Linked DNA regions of Daphnia pulex. The protein of the gene in region 1 purifies or fractionates together with the protein of each later gene. This does not show direct contact. Links are inferred from orthologs where the notes say so. Each region holds a gene or a part of one and is shown on either strand. Other genes may lie near its edges.

Region 1 (7,882 bases):
TTATGAATAAAAGAAAATGGATGAATAGAAATATTATTGTTACCCGCTTCTGGTTTTGGCGCAACATTGCTGTTTACGGGAGAACCAAATGTTGCTCCACCACCAAACGTCGGTTTGCTTCCGAATAGCGGGGAACCACCGAAGGTCGCAGCTCCTCCGAATGCGGGTTGGGCTTGTCCAAAGCCTCCAAAACTTGGCGGTGAAGTACTGCCAAACGAAGAAGCTGGAGCAGCAGTAGTAGGTTGAACACCAAAAGAAGATGGCGCAGAAGTCGCTCCGAACGTTCCTTGACCTTAAATTAGCTTAATCGTAAGAAGATGAAAAAATAAACACACATAAATGTTAAATTACCAGATGGAGTGCCACCACCAAATACAGACGATCCGCCGAAAACATTGCGGTTAGCGTTGGCAGAGGTTGGGGTACCACCGAGTCCCATGCTACCAAACAAACCGGCACCAAATCCTTGGTTGGCATTTGGAGCTGAAGAAGTAGGAGCATTCACAGATGTTTGTCCAAATGTAGATACCCCAAACAGCGGTTTGATCGCGGTTGTTGCTGGAGCCGCACCTTGTCCAAAAACGCTCCCTGCTAACAATCCACTGGGTGTTCCACCACTTGATTGCCCAAACACGGAGGGTGAACCAAAGGATGAAGTCGGCTGTACTCCACTAGCCTGAGCTGGTTTGGCAAAGCTTGACTGTCCAAAGACTGAGGTGCTTGATGTAGTCGAAGTTGTTGAAGTAGGCTGGGCAAACCCAATCTGTCCGAAGGAAGATGGGAAAGGTCCGGCAGTCGTTACAGACTGACCGAACAAACTTCCAGGGGCTGCTGATGGACGACCAAAAATTGTGGTGGTGGCTGGTGCTGGCGACAAGGCGGAAGGTGTGCTAGTGGGAGCAACTGCCAGTCCAAGAGCGGATTGAGTGACAGGGGCAGCAGTAGTCAATGATACATTCTGGATTGGTTTGCTTTGGCCAAATAAAGTTGCCACGCCTGAATCGGAGGTACTTGTCGCGGGAACTAGAGGTGGTGCTTGGCCAAAGACAGATGTGGCCGCTGGTGTCGTTGTTGGGACAACGGGTGCTGCTGCTTGACCAAAGATTGAGGGACTGGACACACTTGAAGTATTAACTACACCAAAGGCGACGGGTGCTTTATTTGATGGAGTCAAAGAGAACAATGACCCAGCAACAGGAGTGGAAGAAGGTGCTGCAAATCCTGTGGGTGTGGAACTAGTAGTAGCTGAACCGGTTCCAGAGAGATTAAAAGTAAAAGGAGCAGTAGCTCCTGGTACACTGGTACTGGAACTGTTAGGAGTTTCAGCCAAACTGAAAGAGAAATTTGTCGGTGCGACAGACGGTTTAACGGTGGTAGTTGAATCATCAGTGTTGGAAGTGGTCGAAGCCGGCGCTACAATCGGCAAGGGAGTAGCGGCGATAGCAGAGGTTACTGCTGCTGCTGAAGGTGTTAGGGAGGTAGAAGAAAACGTAAAACTTGAAGGTGTTACTGCAGCCGGCGTCACGGTTGTTGTGGTAATGGAAGCCGGAGCTGCAGATCCAGAGAGAGATGAAAGCTCTTTGAAAGAAAAACTTGTTTTTAAAGTCGGGGCTGGCTCTGCCGGTTTCGATGCCACCAGTGACGGAGTTGAAGCGGAGGCTGATAAAGCTGGTGGAGCAGAGAAGCCAAACGAAGAAGTAGAAACAACCTTAGTTGTCTGCGGCTGAACTGACGTAGCCGGTATTGCGGCACTGGTAACCGGCGTTCCTGAAGTTGAGAATGGTGATGTAACTTCGGCTGTTGGTTTAGATGATGCAGCCGCAATAGTCGTAGAAGGGGATGCAGCAGCGCCAAATGCGGAACCAAAGGAAGATTTCCCGAACAAACTGGTCGATCCTAATCCGAGTGAGTTTAGGTCTTTCTTGGGAGCACCAAACGAAAGCATAGGTGTTGACGTGGGCACTGAAGAGAAAGAAGGTTTGGGCTCGTAAGGTGGTGGAAGCGAAGTAGGCAAAGAAACGACTGGTTTCAAATCGGCCATTTTAGACACCGGCTTTGTATCTTCCACGGTAGTTACGGGAGCGCGCGAGGGTAAACTCAAACTGCTCATCATCAGCTGATTGCCGAGAGATTTGGCCTTTTGGTCCAAGTTAACTGGTGAAGACGGCGGAGTAACATCTTCGACCTCGGAGGGCGGACGTGGAGTAGGTTTGGCAAAATCCACTCGAGACGATGCCATAGAGACCTTAGCATTGAATCCATGATCGGGTAACCCCATTTTAGGCATAGGCAGGTCTGATTTAATCTCCTGTGGCGTCGAATAGCTTACACTTTTGACAGTGGGCAATATGGTCTTGGAAGGAGCTTGTGAAATCTTAGGACTAACTGAAGAAGTATCTTTCTTATCTTCACCGTGAATGAAACCGGTGAGATTTGACAGCAAGCGTGATTCTGCAACTGATTCTGGGCGAACGGCTCGAATCCGAGCTACCGGTCTATGCGCTAATACACTCCTTAACATTGCTTGTTTATCAGGTGATACTTGTGGGATCACAGGATGGTGTGATTGAGTTTCCCCTTCTCCTCTTATACTTGACGACAAAAGAGAATCAGCCAGAACAGCCAGTTCAGACTCCCATTTTCTTGACTCATCACCACTCTTTGGTCTACAGAACACACAATTAATTCAATAATTAAGTGAATTTATGAATGGCAAATACCTTAAAGCTTCGAAGGCTGCACCGGCGAGTTTCAGTTGCTGTTCTTTGCTCTGAACCATAATTCGTTCAACACGAGATTTTAACTGTGATATTACTTTCGTATTGTTTCTAATTGCTTCATAAATAACCTGAGATGAAATAAATCATAGGATGCTGAATATTTTAGAGTAATAATAATAATAAAACAAGCTTACCTGAGTTATTGGGATTTCAATTTTGCGGGTGTCTCTAGTACGGTCTCTGCTAATCGAATCTAGGCTTCGTGAAGCTTCTATAAGCTGCTGTTCTATGTGAACGTGCAAGCGCTCAATGCCGTCCATTTTTCTGCGATTGCCTGGATCTAGAGGCCGTAACTTGAGCAAATGACAGAAATGAGAATTTTTGCGACGAGCACGTCGAACACGGGCATCTTCCAAAAGGGCGGCAACTTCTACCAAATCAGTGCACAAGCCTCGAACTTCTTCGTCTTGCACTTTGGTAGTATCGACCAGATCCACACCAAACTCAGCCAGATCGGATGTCATCTTTAACAATCGTTCTTTCTCCTCATCACTCGCGATCGTAACTTTCAAAGTCAACGAACGAGCTTTGAATTCCTTCAAGTCTTGAACGAATTTGGCCACTTCGTCACGTAATATTGCAGCGGCAGCGCCCATGGATGAATGGATGTTAGATTCATCTGCGATTGGAGTTTGACTTGTAAGTTTGACAGTAAGTGGAGTAGCTTTCGGGACAACCGGAACCGCTTCTATCTTCACAGCTGGTACAACAGGTGCAGTTGCAACTTTCGTCACTGAAGGTAAGGCAGGTTGAAGTTGGGGTTTGTTGCCCAAAAACGAGTCCGAAATAGGCGGATTTGAAGGTAATTTCGTTGTAACTGGGACTGCTAAGGAAGGAGCATCCGCAAATGCAGCAAATCGTTCTCCAAGATTTGTTCTAGGAAATGCAATTTTACCAGCAGCAGGTAATGGAGTGGAAGCTGCTAATGGAGCCGCCTTGAGACCAATTCCACTAAGCGCTGGTCTCTCACCAGTGACCGACAATTCTTGAGGAGCCTGATTGAATTTGGCAGCACCGTTCTTTAGATTGATAACATGAAACGGGCAAAGCAGACCATGAGTGCTGAGTATGAAAAGAATGGGTGCGGGCGGTAAAGTTTGATTGTCATCCCAACTGATTGGAATTTGGCTAGTGGTATCGATGGCCATTCCCAACGGGTTAGTCTCAGCATTCTCATTTAATGGTAGTTCAGCTCGCCATTCACCTTCTAGTGCCCATTGCCTCCATTCAGGGTGATCAGCATCTCCAGCTCCTGTTTGAGCTAGTACGGCAACTTCTATTGCGTTAGCTGAACAAGCCAATAACACATTCCATGGGGATAAACTCAATGTTAGATAACTAAAAAAGAAACAAAATTCATTATATTGATAATAAAATGAAAAAAATTCGTATACCTGTGTGGTCTTTCAGACGGACTTCCGTAGCAAACATCGTCATAATCTATGAAAGTTGTTGCCCCCGATTTTTGTACGTTGACTATGTAGAGGTGGGGACGAGAATTGGGTTCATTTTGATCAACAAACGTTACAAGGAACTGAGTTGTAGAAAGCCACTGAAGTCCACAAACCATTGGCTGAGTCATATGGACATCGCTACCACTAAACGCTATAGTCTTGGCTTCCTTTAAATCAGGCTTATACTGAACTAGTTTACTAGGCCTGGCCACAACTAGCTGTTTTCCTTTGGGACTCCAACAGACTGACCTAATAATTCAATAAAATTAAGAAAATAACATACATACAAAATAGGATATTCACATACTGGGCTCCTGTACTTGATGGAAGGCTATTTATAGTGAATTGAGTGTTGTTGATCTCCACTGCAACTAAAGAGCCATCACTAAGACAGACAGCTACTAGAGTTGGTATAACAGGGTTCCACGCACAATCTTTCACAGTAACTCCATCAGTAGACGAAAGCCTGACTTCCTGGAAGGGATTCCATTCACCTGACTGAAAAAGATTTTAAATCTGTTTCAATCACACAAAATGAAATTCCTTAAATCATACCTGTCTTGCAAATCCACGAACATCATACATCCAACCTACTGAGCATCCAGATTTTTGAAGGCACACCATTAAGGTAAGATTATCAGAGCTCAGTGTTACAAAACTAGGTTTGTTGGGTAAAAGAATTTCCTTGATGGGAAATGATGATATTTCTGATTTTTTTGATGTTGTATTGTCAATTTGTATAAGATCTGAAACTTTGATGACAACAAGTTTGTCAGGTGTCCCAACAAAGATCAGACCAAACAAATTAGAAGTAGCCAGCAATGATGTGGTGTCCTGTACATCATATTCCTTTTTAGTGACTCTAAACTTACACAGCTGTTTCATTTTGAAGTCCTGTTGTTACAAGTTAGATTGGTTGAATTGAAAGAAAACAATAAAAAAATGTATTTTAAAATTACCAAGACTTCAACAGGATCAGGAACGTTTGCCATTATCAGTTTCAATAATCAATGTAATATTCGGATAGAAAATCACACCGCACTTTCAACCTTATTTTGTTGCAAAGCCAAAGCCGGTCGAAATTTTATGAAATGTCTAACTGTTTGAGTGCCTCACTGCCTGTCTGCTTGTGACAAGTGAACGCCATCTATCAAAGCAATTTGAATTTTTTTAAATTGTAATAACTCGCGGTTCTTTTTTTTGAAAGGGTAGGGGCTGAGGGGTAGTGTTTCCAATTCTGATCACTTTTGGGGCTATAGTGGAGTTAAGATATTCAAAAGGGAAGGCTTACGTGATACGTCAACCAAATTGCAAGATACAATATTTTCATCAACTTGGTTCATTGAAAACCCTGTTCAAAACGATTAAACAATAAACATTCGATCAAACGAATCATATTCGAGGAATAAATTTACAAATAGGGACTATATAATATACGATAAATCTGATCGTGGTGCACGGTCTCTTTATACGGCAAATAGTCTCTCTTTGAACTAATTAACAAACAAAATTAACTTAACTTAACTTCTAAATAACTTAACATCTATAAGTAAGATAAACTGGCACCTTATCTATTAGGCTACACATTCTGGTCGGTCTGCTCAAATCTGGCTCGATTGGACATTATTATTTTTCAAGAGATTCAATTGGATGATAATTCATGTAACCTTAGTCTAGCATAATTAGACAAAGAATATCCAACTAGGACAAACTTTAGATCCGACTCACTTCCTCATCCCAACCTGTGTGTAGTTCATTCATCTCGATCCCTTTTCTTTATCAGTCCGCAAAAGATGGAATTATTTTTTTTTAAATTTTCTATTCAAATAAACAATTATTGGTTTAATTTGATCAGATTCAGAAACAGCGACACAGCGACGCCATACGGCCGTAGCGCATAAATTCATTTTTAAGCGACGCAGGGAGAAAAAAGATTACTGCTAGTAAACTCTGACTAATCGTTTATTTAAAACTTTTATTTCTTTATTTGTATCAATTATAGCAAGAAGCCAGGATATGATATTTACTTGGTAGTTCGGATAAGCCGGAGATATGGATGCGGGCTTGTATGCAGAGGTTTGTATGAGGAGTACGAAAGGATAGGCTGGGCTAGGGTAGGAAGCTGGTTTGTATGCAGCTTGTTTCTCCGTCGTGCCATCCAAAAATATTTCCTTGTAATAATGATTGTCAGAAGTGGGATTTGAACCCACGCCTTCTATCGAAGACCAGAATTCCTATTTACCAAGTTTTAGTTTGGCAAGCACCTGCTTGAGTCTGGCGCCTTAGACCGCTCGGCCATCCTGACATATGTTTTATGATTGATTGGCTATATATATTACCTTAAGGGGAAGGATGAATGGAAAGGGAAAGCCAGTATGTCAGCAAGTCTTAGAAAAAGGTGGAGTAGTTTAAGTAAGTTTATTATTTTTGTGTAACATATATCCTGACTCTGAAAATGAAACTAATGTAGAAAAACCCGAAGAAAACCCGCAGACACCGTTTCAGGAAAAAATATAATATAATATGTACAGTACCTACACAAAGTTTGGAAACACGGCGAGTGTTTCCGCGCTTCTAACACGGCGGCTTACGGACCAAAGTGTCTCCCTTTTTTACGCGATAACTCACGTTTGAGCTATCGCAAAGCAAATTTAAAAAAATCTTCTTGGTGGGGAAAGAATTTCCTTTCACCATGATATTTGATATTTGTAGATTTTATAGTGAATTGAAGTTTATCCCCAAAGTGCTAGATATAAAGTTTGGAAACATCGGCGCTCTCGCCATATGTTTCCAAGCTAAAGTGTATGCTACTTTAAAAATGATAAAAAATCCAAATATATCAATAATTACTTGAAACTTGCACAAACGGAAGACGACATAGTCGTCGGATGACGGAGACGAACGCTGTGGAGACGGTCCGGAAACGCTCGAAACCGAGGGCGAATGGGAAGACGACGATTCCTCGTTAGATGATGAGTCGCTGCCTGACGACGAATGCTCGTCTAACGACTGGGCCGATGAGTGGGAGGGCGATGAATCCGTCTCCTCCGGGCTTGCTTGGCTGGATGATTCCGTGTCTGTGCCTTGTTTGGTGACGTAGCGGTTCATCTGGGCTACATGGGCATTGAACACTCGCCACCTGGTGGCCGTTCGGCGGGATGGAAGGTCTTCCACCTCGTAGGTACTTGGGCCAAGCTTCCGCACGAGGTGGAAGGGACCGATGTTGCGCTGCGAAAACTTCTTGCACACCCCCTTTTTCACCTGCTTCCGCCGCACCGTCACGAGATCCCCTGGTTGGTATTCTAGCCCCTCCAAAATTGTCCTGTTTTTCCCCTACCAAAATTGACCTCGAAGAATTGTCGCTGGCGCAACATGCAGACCGAACTTTTAAGACTGCAATCGACAGGCTACAAGGAAGATCCCCGCAAACCCAAGACGTTTTCCGACTTAAAAAGCAAGTCCTGTATCGACGGAACAAAAGGAAAAGCGGGCATTCATGGCTTCTTTGCGTGCCCAAGTTTTTAAGAGGCCAAGTCGCGAGGGCGTGTCATGTTGATCCGTCCAGTGGCCACGGAGGCCAAACAAAAACTATAGAGAGAATCCTACAACGGTTTTGGTGGCCAGGTGCTACAAAAACAGCCCGACGAC
Region 2 (6,911 bases), on another chromosome or scaffold:
CTACTGCTCGAGTAAAAATCAGATGAATACACCACAAGTTGGTATGTGTCCTGCATCTTTTCGTGTGACCATGGTGTGACTTCCCCAAAGTTGCTGCAATAAACCTGAAGATTACACATGGCCTTGATTATGTTCCCATATGACTAAGCTATTATTGGTTTTTACCTGTATTAACTGGATGATGCATTCAGCAAAACAATGATTTCTACTGGAAGAATTGATGGTAGGCTAGTACTTGTAGCCAATGTTTCCTGTTCCTTCCTATGCCTTCCTACAGTGTTAGAATCAGAAATTTGAAAGATGATCCAACACAAATAAAAAAAAAATCACATCACCAACAAATTGCACAGAAAATAAACTTGAATGTAACTATGAATCCACCAAAGATTATACAAATCATGATGGTGAACGAAAGAAAACTACTTAACTTAAGGAAACTCAACACTTGAACAAAAGATTTTCAATACTAACCTCCACCAATGAATCGGCGAGTTGCATTAGATCGAATATGCCAGGTAGTATATTTCGAACAGGATCGATCACGTGCTGGAAATGGAATGCGGGAAGGCCCTTCTCACTGTAATCACTAATCAGCCATAAATGTTGAAATCAACATCTTTCATATGACACTTATTTTAGTTATTTAACAAGTAAATCCTAGTTAACCAAAACCCGTAAGAACACTCCACATCGCCCACACTCCACAGTGAAAGTTCACATAATATGGCCGCCGCGAGGTTGCCATGGCGTTGGTTTGCTCTATTGTCAATTTGGCCATTGATTTGCGCCACCTGGAGGGGAAACGACATCTAGCGGCAATTAATTGTACTTGAAATGTGAAATTCTGAACTGATTGATTTCAAGGTTCAAGCGATTCATTTTATTTGGATCAAAATAATAATAGAATAAAATTCCGTTACTTTTCCAAAATAATGATATGCATAAAAATATTGCCTAATGTAAATGTACGTGACGTACTAGATACGCCATCTCTTAGCTTCGGACAGAACTCAGATGGATGGATAGAAAAAAGTTACGCCATGGAATAGCTCAATGACCGGCCTAGTACTTAAGTGGTCCTTGCATTTTTAATTTAACAAGTCTGGACGAGTAAACATAGATTGAAGTAAGATAGAGACGTAACAAAAATTTTTTATTCACGCTTTAGTCAACGAATATCAAACCCATTGCAAGCGAATTATTGATTCTCTTCACTTGTTCTAGTTATCTAGTAAGTTGAAACAATTGTTTTCCATCGTAAATTCGCAAGTTATATCCACGTTGTAGCTGTTGAATCATGTCTGTCGCGAAACATTCCGACTACTCAGACGAAGACGAAGACTTTAGTTCTTTATATTCGGGGGCTTGTAAGCGTTTTAAAAAAGAAAAGCAAGCAGTTTGTTCTACAGGAAAACCGCATCTTGCCAACAAAAAAGAGACCAAAATTTTTACCTCAGCTGGAAACGTATCACCAACACCTGTTCAGCAGATTGATGAAAGTAGTGATGAAGAAGTACTTAGAGTTCCAAACAGAGAAATTCAAGAAGTTGATTTAGATGAAACAGAAGTTCACGAAGAAACAGACAGACAAGTGGAAACTCTAGAAGACATAGAAGACTGCATCAATATATCACCTGAAGTGTCATTTTCAGAAGATCTTACATCACGTAAACTCAGTAAAGTACCTGCAGCAATACAAGATGAAATTGAGTGTGAGGAGGACCCACTCTATTGTGCTTCGTTGAATGATTCGGTAAGAAGTGAAAAATGGTTTTGGTAAATAATCTTTTATATTCTCTTGCCTATATATTTCTATATTTTTGTGCAGCAATTGAATCAGACCCTTGATGGTGATGAAATAGTGGTAGTTAAAGTTCGCTTCATTGCCCAAAAAGTGTGGAGGATAGAAATCAAAAGGGTAACCTTCAACATCCAACATATCAATAACTAGTCCACTACATTTTTACTATTATTACTATTATTCAGGCTGATTATTTCAAAACCATCTGCCAGAAATTATCAGAGATCACTGATGTGGATGCTGGACAAATAATTCTATATTTCAATGATCAACTACTGAATGACTATGACAGTCTCAAAACAGTGCCACTTGGGATATCAGACATCATTGGTATGTTACTTGTCATTCAAATTACAGTCCATTTCAGCGTCATAAATCGGTTTTAGCAACCCTGGCATGAAGTCAATTGGTTTTCCAATGTAAAAACTTTGGACGATTGGGTTTGGTATTAGCGAACGTTGTAACAGTGCTTTTTTTTAACAGATGCTTCAGTCTGCAAAGAAGGAGTTGTCGTCAGCTCCAACGAAACATTGTTGGAGTTAAAGGTTCAGAGTCAGAACCGGAATGCACAAGTGGTTATATCAATGCGCCCCGAAGACCCTATGGCAGTTTTGATGCAGAAGTATGCGGAAGCAACCGGGATTGATTTGTCCAAATTGAAGTTTAAATTTGACGGCGAAATGTTGGAAGAAGATGACACACCGTCTAGTCTGGAATTTGAAGGTGGCGAGTGTATCGATGTTTTCATTAGAGAGTAGTTTATTTGTTCACTACATTTTTCTTAACTTTACTACTTTGTATATTTTCCCTTGCGCAAATAAATTATGCACTAATAAACAAAAATTCGAAAGACTTTTGTATTATGACGCACAATGTATTTTCATACCTCGCAAATAAAAATTGGTTAAGATAGAAGGCAGAAAACACAGATGGAAAAATTTGTGGGAGGGTGTAGTGGCTTAAATCCTAATATGTTGATGTTACAAGTCTTCATCATCTTCTGGTAGTGCAATGTGTTGAGCTTCCTCCAATTCACCTTCAATTTGCTTCTGCCAATTAGGATCCATCTGCACCTCAGGTGGCTGCAGAGCAGGCATAGCAACAAACTCTAGGTTAGGGTCTCCAATTAGCTTACGTGCTAGCCAGAGGAAAGGCTTTTCAAAGTTGTAGTTTGACTTGGCACTAATGTCATAGTACTAAATGAAACCAAAATTTAGCAAATTGCATTTACAATTTAGTAGCACAATTAACATACCTGGAGATTCTTCTTTCTGTGAAAGACAATGGATTTGGCCTTGACTTTACGATCTTTAATGTCAACTTTGTTGCCACAAAGAACAATTGGGATGTTTTCACAAACTCGGACCAAATCTCTGTGCCAATTTGGAACATTTTTGTAGGTGACACGAGAGGTTACATCAAACATGATGATAGCACATTGGCCCTGCAAGATAAATGAAAGTCAGTCGAGACCATGTGAATACAAGTATGCTGACATTTACCTGAATGTAATATCCATCTCTGAGACCTCCAAACTTCTCCTGACCAGCAGTGTCCCACACGTTGAATCTGATGGCTCCACGGTTTGTATGGAAAACCAAAGGGTGAACTTCCACACCAAGTGTGGCCACATACTTCTTTTCAAATTCACCAGTCAAGTGACGCTTAACGAAAGTGGTTTTTCCGGTACCACCATCGCCAACCAAGACCAGCTTGAAAGTGGGCATGTCAGGTTCGGCAGCCATTCTGTTGTAAATCCTACAAATAATGAGAAAAGATAAGTGAATCGATCAGACTTGATTGCGTCATTCAACAAGAATTTACTGGAACTTAATCTAACGACAACAAAATATATTTTTCTAAAAATTTACACACTCGTGAACACTTACAAGTTAACTGTCAATGTTTAATGTCAAGAGAAAAAAGGGACTATTTCAAACAACTACCACAGAACAGTTTTACCGCCACTGACTAGCTTAGTGCGTTGTCTTTGATGGAGGAAGATGACTGTTAGAGGTTACAACTTGAAAAATGCAGAATAAAATAACTATGATGACTAAAATACTTTCCATGCCGAATTAAAAAGAGATTGGCAAAAGAAACATTACTGCTTACTTAAAACAACGAAAAGATGAAGGATGTGGACAATATTCGAAGATAAATCTAACTCACCGGCGGTTTTAAGCTTTAGGTTCACAATCGCGCGGTTCTAATACCAAACTGGTCTCTAAAAATTCTGGTAGCGTAAAGGCTGGCTGAAAATGGGTGGCTCTAAAAAATTCCTAGCGAGATGTTGCCAAATTTCACTAGGAGAAACGGCGGGAATATTTTCCTTTTCTTTGAAAAAAAGACGGTTGGAATTTGAAAATGGAAAGTAGGCTGTAGCAGGGCTGTAGCTCTCTATTTCTCTAAAGCCTGTCTAAAGCTTTGAATGTAATTTATTAATGTTGAATTTCATTCAGGCCTATTAACGGGATGATGTTTTTTAATTTTTTAATCAACAATATATTTATTTTGTGTGAGATTAAAATGCTAAATGTGTTAATAAAAAGGATAGTAGCACTTAATTCAAATGAAATTACCTTTTAAAAGAAGAAAGAAATTCCTATAAGCATCACTGTATATAAATTAATTAATAGGACATTAAAAGACGTGGTAGCAGCATGATGAATATTTCTGTCAAAGTTATGATTGCTGTTTTTTTTGTTAGTCATTATTTCATTGTATGTTATAAAATCAACCGTTCGAAGAAAAATAACAACGGAGGCGATCATTCATACAAGCATCTGTATTTATTGATACGATGAATTTCTGGGTTACAAAAAATAATGGCGAGTTTTGTTTTACAAACAAAATATCAATGAACTATTACAAAATAATTTTCGGAAGGTTTCATCACAGTGTATAAAATCTTGGGAGATAAAGCTATGACGAACATTTTGATGCGATACCGGTTCGTTTGTAACTCAACGCGAAACTGACTACTTGAACGAGGATCCAAACAAAAAACGCAAGACAAAGGGGAATATGGGGATAGGGGGTTTCAGTAGTCATCACATTCCACATTGGCGAACTAATCATGCACACATAAAAATAAACTAAAATAATCTGAAATAAACATGGAACTCCAAGTTTTATCATATATAGTTATCAAAGTTAGGAGATTTTTTTATTTTTTGCAGCTTCAATGAACTTTGCCATCAGACTCTTGACAGAAAATGGGTCCTCTTTTTTGGCTCTTGTTTCTTTTTTTGTGCTTAACCTTGATGATGGATTTTTTCCAGAGTGCCCAAAGTGATTACTAGTCCTCTTGTTTTTGCAGTTAACATTCTTTGATGCCTTAAGTTTGTTTGATGTGATGGAAGGCGATGGGGCAATCAGACGAATGGTGGCGAATAAATTACCTTCTTCATCCACGTCTATGTCAACTTTTGACTTTGGTACCGAAGATGTAGAAGGACGACTCAATGGGACTTTTGTAGTAGCTTCTTGTGGTGATTCCAAATGTGAAGGTGCGAAGGGAAGCAGTCGAATCTCGTCGGGATCAATGACACTGGATTCCTCGAATTCAGATTTCACCAACCAAACCGGCGAATTGTGTTGAAGTAATTCAACTTTCACAGGCATAACATGCGGGGCCATTTTTGTTAATTTTCTGGGAGATTGGCTTACATTGGTTTCGATCAATCGTTTTTTTGCTTGAAGAGGTGTTGTTGTTTCGGGAAAATCGGAAAGAAGAAAGGGATTGGCAGTTATTTTCCCAGCGGCTAACGGTGGGTTAAGGACGGGAGCAACGAGAAATGGAGGTGCAATTGGTGCAACAGTGGTGATGAATAATGGATCCATTTCCATTTCTTGATCCATTTCTTTGACATCTTGAGGTTCCAGGAAATGGGTAAAACAAAGACGACTGTCATCGAGTGGATCAAATGCGCTGCCTTCCCAACAAATGTCTTCACAAATAGCGGGCGACTCGAGCTTCACGTTAGGTATTTGAGGTTTCTCCGTGAAATGGGAAAATGGCATATCCTTGTTAGAGATGTCAACATCTTCCGACACATCCTCAAATTGAAAAGGTGGACTGCAATGCCAATCAGATAAATCAGGGGTCTTCTTGGACATGGAGTCTTCAAGGAAAGTGGTCTCCATCATCACTTCTTGTTCCATTGCTGTTGCTGAGTAACGATCTGGCATTACAACTTCTCGAATTGGTGGAACATTCGTAACAGATTCCTGTGAATTCGGATATGCTACACGAGTAAACTGTGCTTTCATATGGGTAGAGGATGAATGAACAGGATATTCTGAGGGTGTCATCCAATTTGAATCAACTGGCATCAATAAAGGACTAGGACTTGGAGTTAGAATGGAAGCAGGTGCCAGATATTGAAGATTATCCATCTCTATCTCATGTTTTTTGTCAACAGTTAAGAAGGAAGATTGAGAAGAACAACCGATGGGAGATTGAGATGCCATGGATTTAAATTAGATGAGTTATTTGCCTTTGTGGAATAGTAAAAGATGTGCTGCACATGGACACAGCTGACGTAGTGTAGACTGTAGAATCTCTTGAAATAAACTTTGCATGTGATGTCAAGAAGGGATCTGAAATAAAAAGAATACACATTTTGGTACAATTCCATGTCCAGTGTCCACTTGCAGAGCAAACAAACTGACAAGTATTTTTTGAAAACCGAAATTAAAGCAAGGAGAAAGGCTGCATCCAAATCAATGGTGCTAAATCTCATCAAATGGTAATATTCAACAATCAATGACAAAGAATTTCACATAGTGTGTGAGCAGTACTTGCATGTGTTCATATTATTGCTTTGTCTGTTTTGGGAACCACATGAGCTAACGTAGGCTGCCTGAAATGTTGAATTTCACTTACATAATGAGCTGTAATACTAACCAATATAATTTTACATAGGGGTAGAGTTGAAGTTGAATTAAAAGTCGAGGTAGATGCTGAAAAATTAACAATAGAACAGACATTTTGAGATTATGTTGAGAAACATTGACAATGATAAAAATGGCTATCACCAGTTTAGAAGCAAGGCAAATGCTTATTTAACTTATCAAAGTTGTCTTTGAAACTAGAAATTTCTAT

The links.
Region 2: the proteins of nuclear pore complex protein Nup214-like (region 1) and GTP-binding nuclear protein Ran purify together in Homo sapiens (affinity purification with mass spectrometry; 3 studies listed by BioGRID and IntAct, counting the BioPlex papers as one, with this or other methods). This does not show direct contact. The link is inferred for Daphnia pulex from reciprocal best matches to the Homo sapiens genes NUP214 and RAN.

The regions. Positions count from the first base shown.
Region 1 is NC_060027.1:5,445,920-5,453,801, forward strand, and holds the start of nuclear pore complex protein Nup214-like, read right to left. Parts: upstream 5,379-7,882; 5' UTR 5,227-5,378; coding exon 5,194-5,226; intron 5,129-5,193; coding exon 4,790-5,128; intron 4,733-4,789; coding exon 4,542-4,732; intron 4,484-4,541; coding exon 4,175-4,483; intron 4,119-4,174; coding exon 2,915-4,118; intron 2,849-2,914; coding exon 2,721-2,848; intron 2,667-2,720; coding exon 352-2,666; intron 293-351; coding exon 44-292; intron 1-43. UniProt on the Homo sapiens protein: Part of the nuclear pore complex. Has a critical role in nucleocytoplasmic transport.
Region 2 is NC_060020.1:1,357,291-1,364,201, reverse strand, and holds GTP-binding nuclear protein Ran, read right to left. Parts: upstream 4,127-6,911; 5' UTR 3,974-4,126; exon of another isoform or gene 3,917-3,973; intron 3,789-3,916; exon of another isoform or gene 3,691-3,788; intron 3,560-3,690; 5' UTR 3,547-3,559; coding exon 3,304-3,546; intron 3,246-3,303; coding exon 3,057-3,245; intron 2,998-3,056; coding exon 2,782-2,997; 3' UTR 2,645-2,781; downstream 1-2,644. Other genes in the region: NFATC2-interacting protein-like, read left to right, coding at 1,298-1,753, 1,829-1,918, 1,987-2,131, 2,285-2,559; uncharacterized protein LOC124192239, read right to left, coding at 4,958-6,277. UniProt on the Homo sapiens protein: GTPase involved in nucleocytoplasmic transport, participating both to the import and the export from the nucleus of proteins and RNAs. Switches between a cytoplasmic GDP- and a nuclear GTP-bound state by nucleotide exchange and GTP hydrolysis.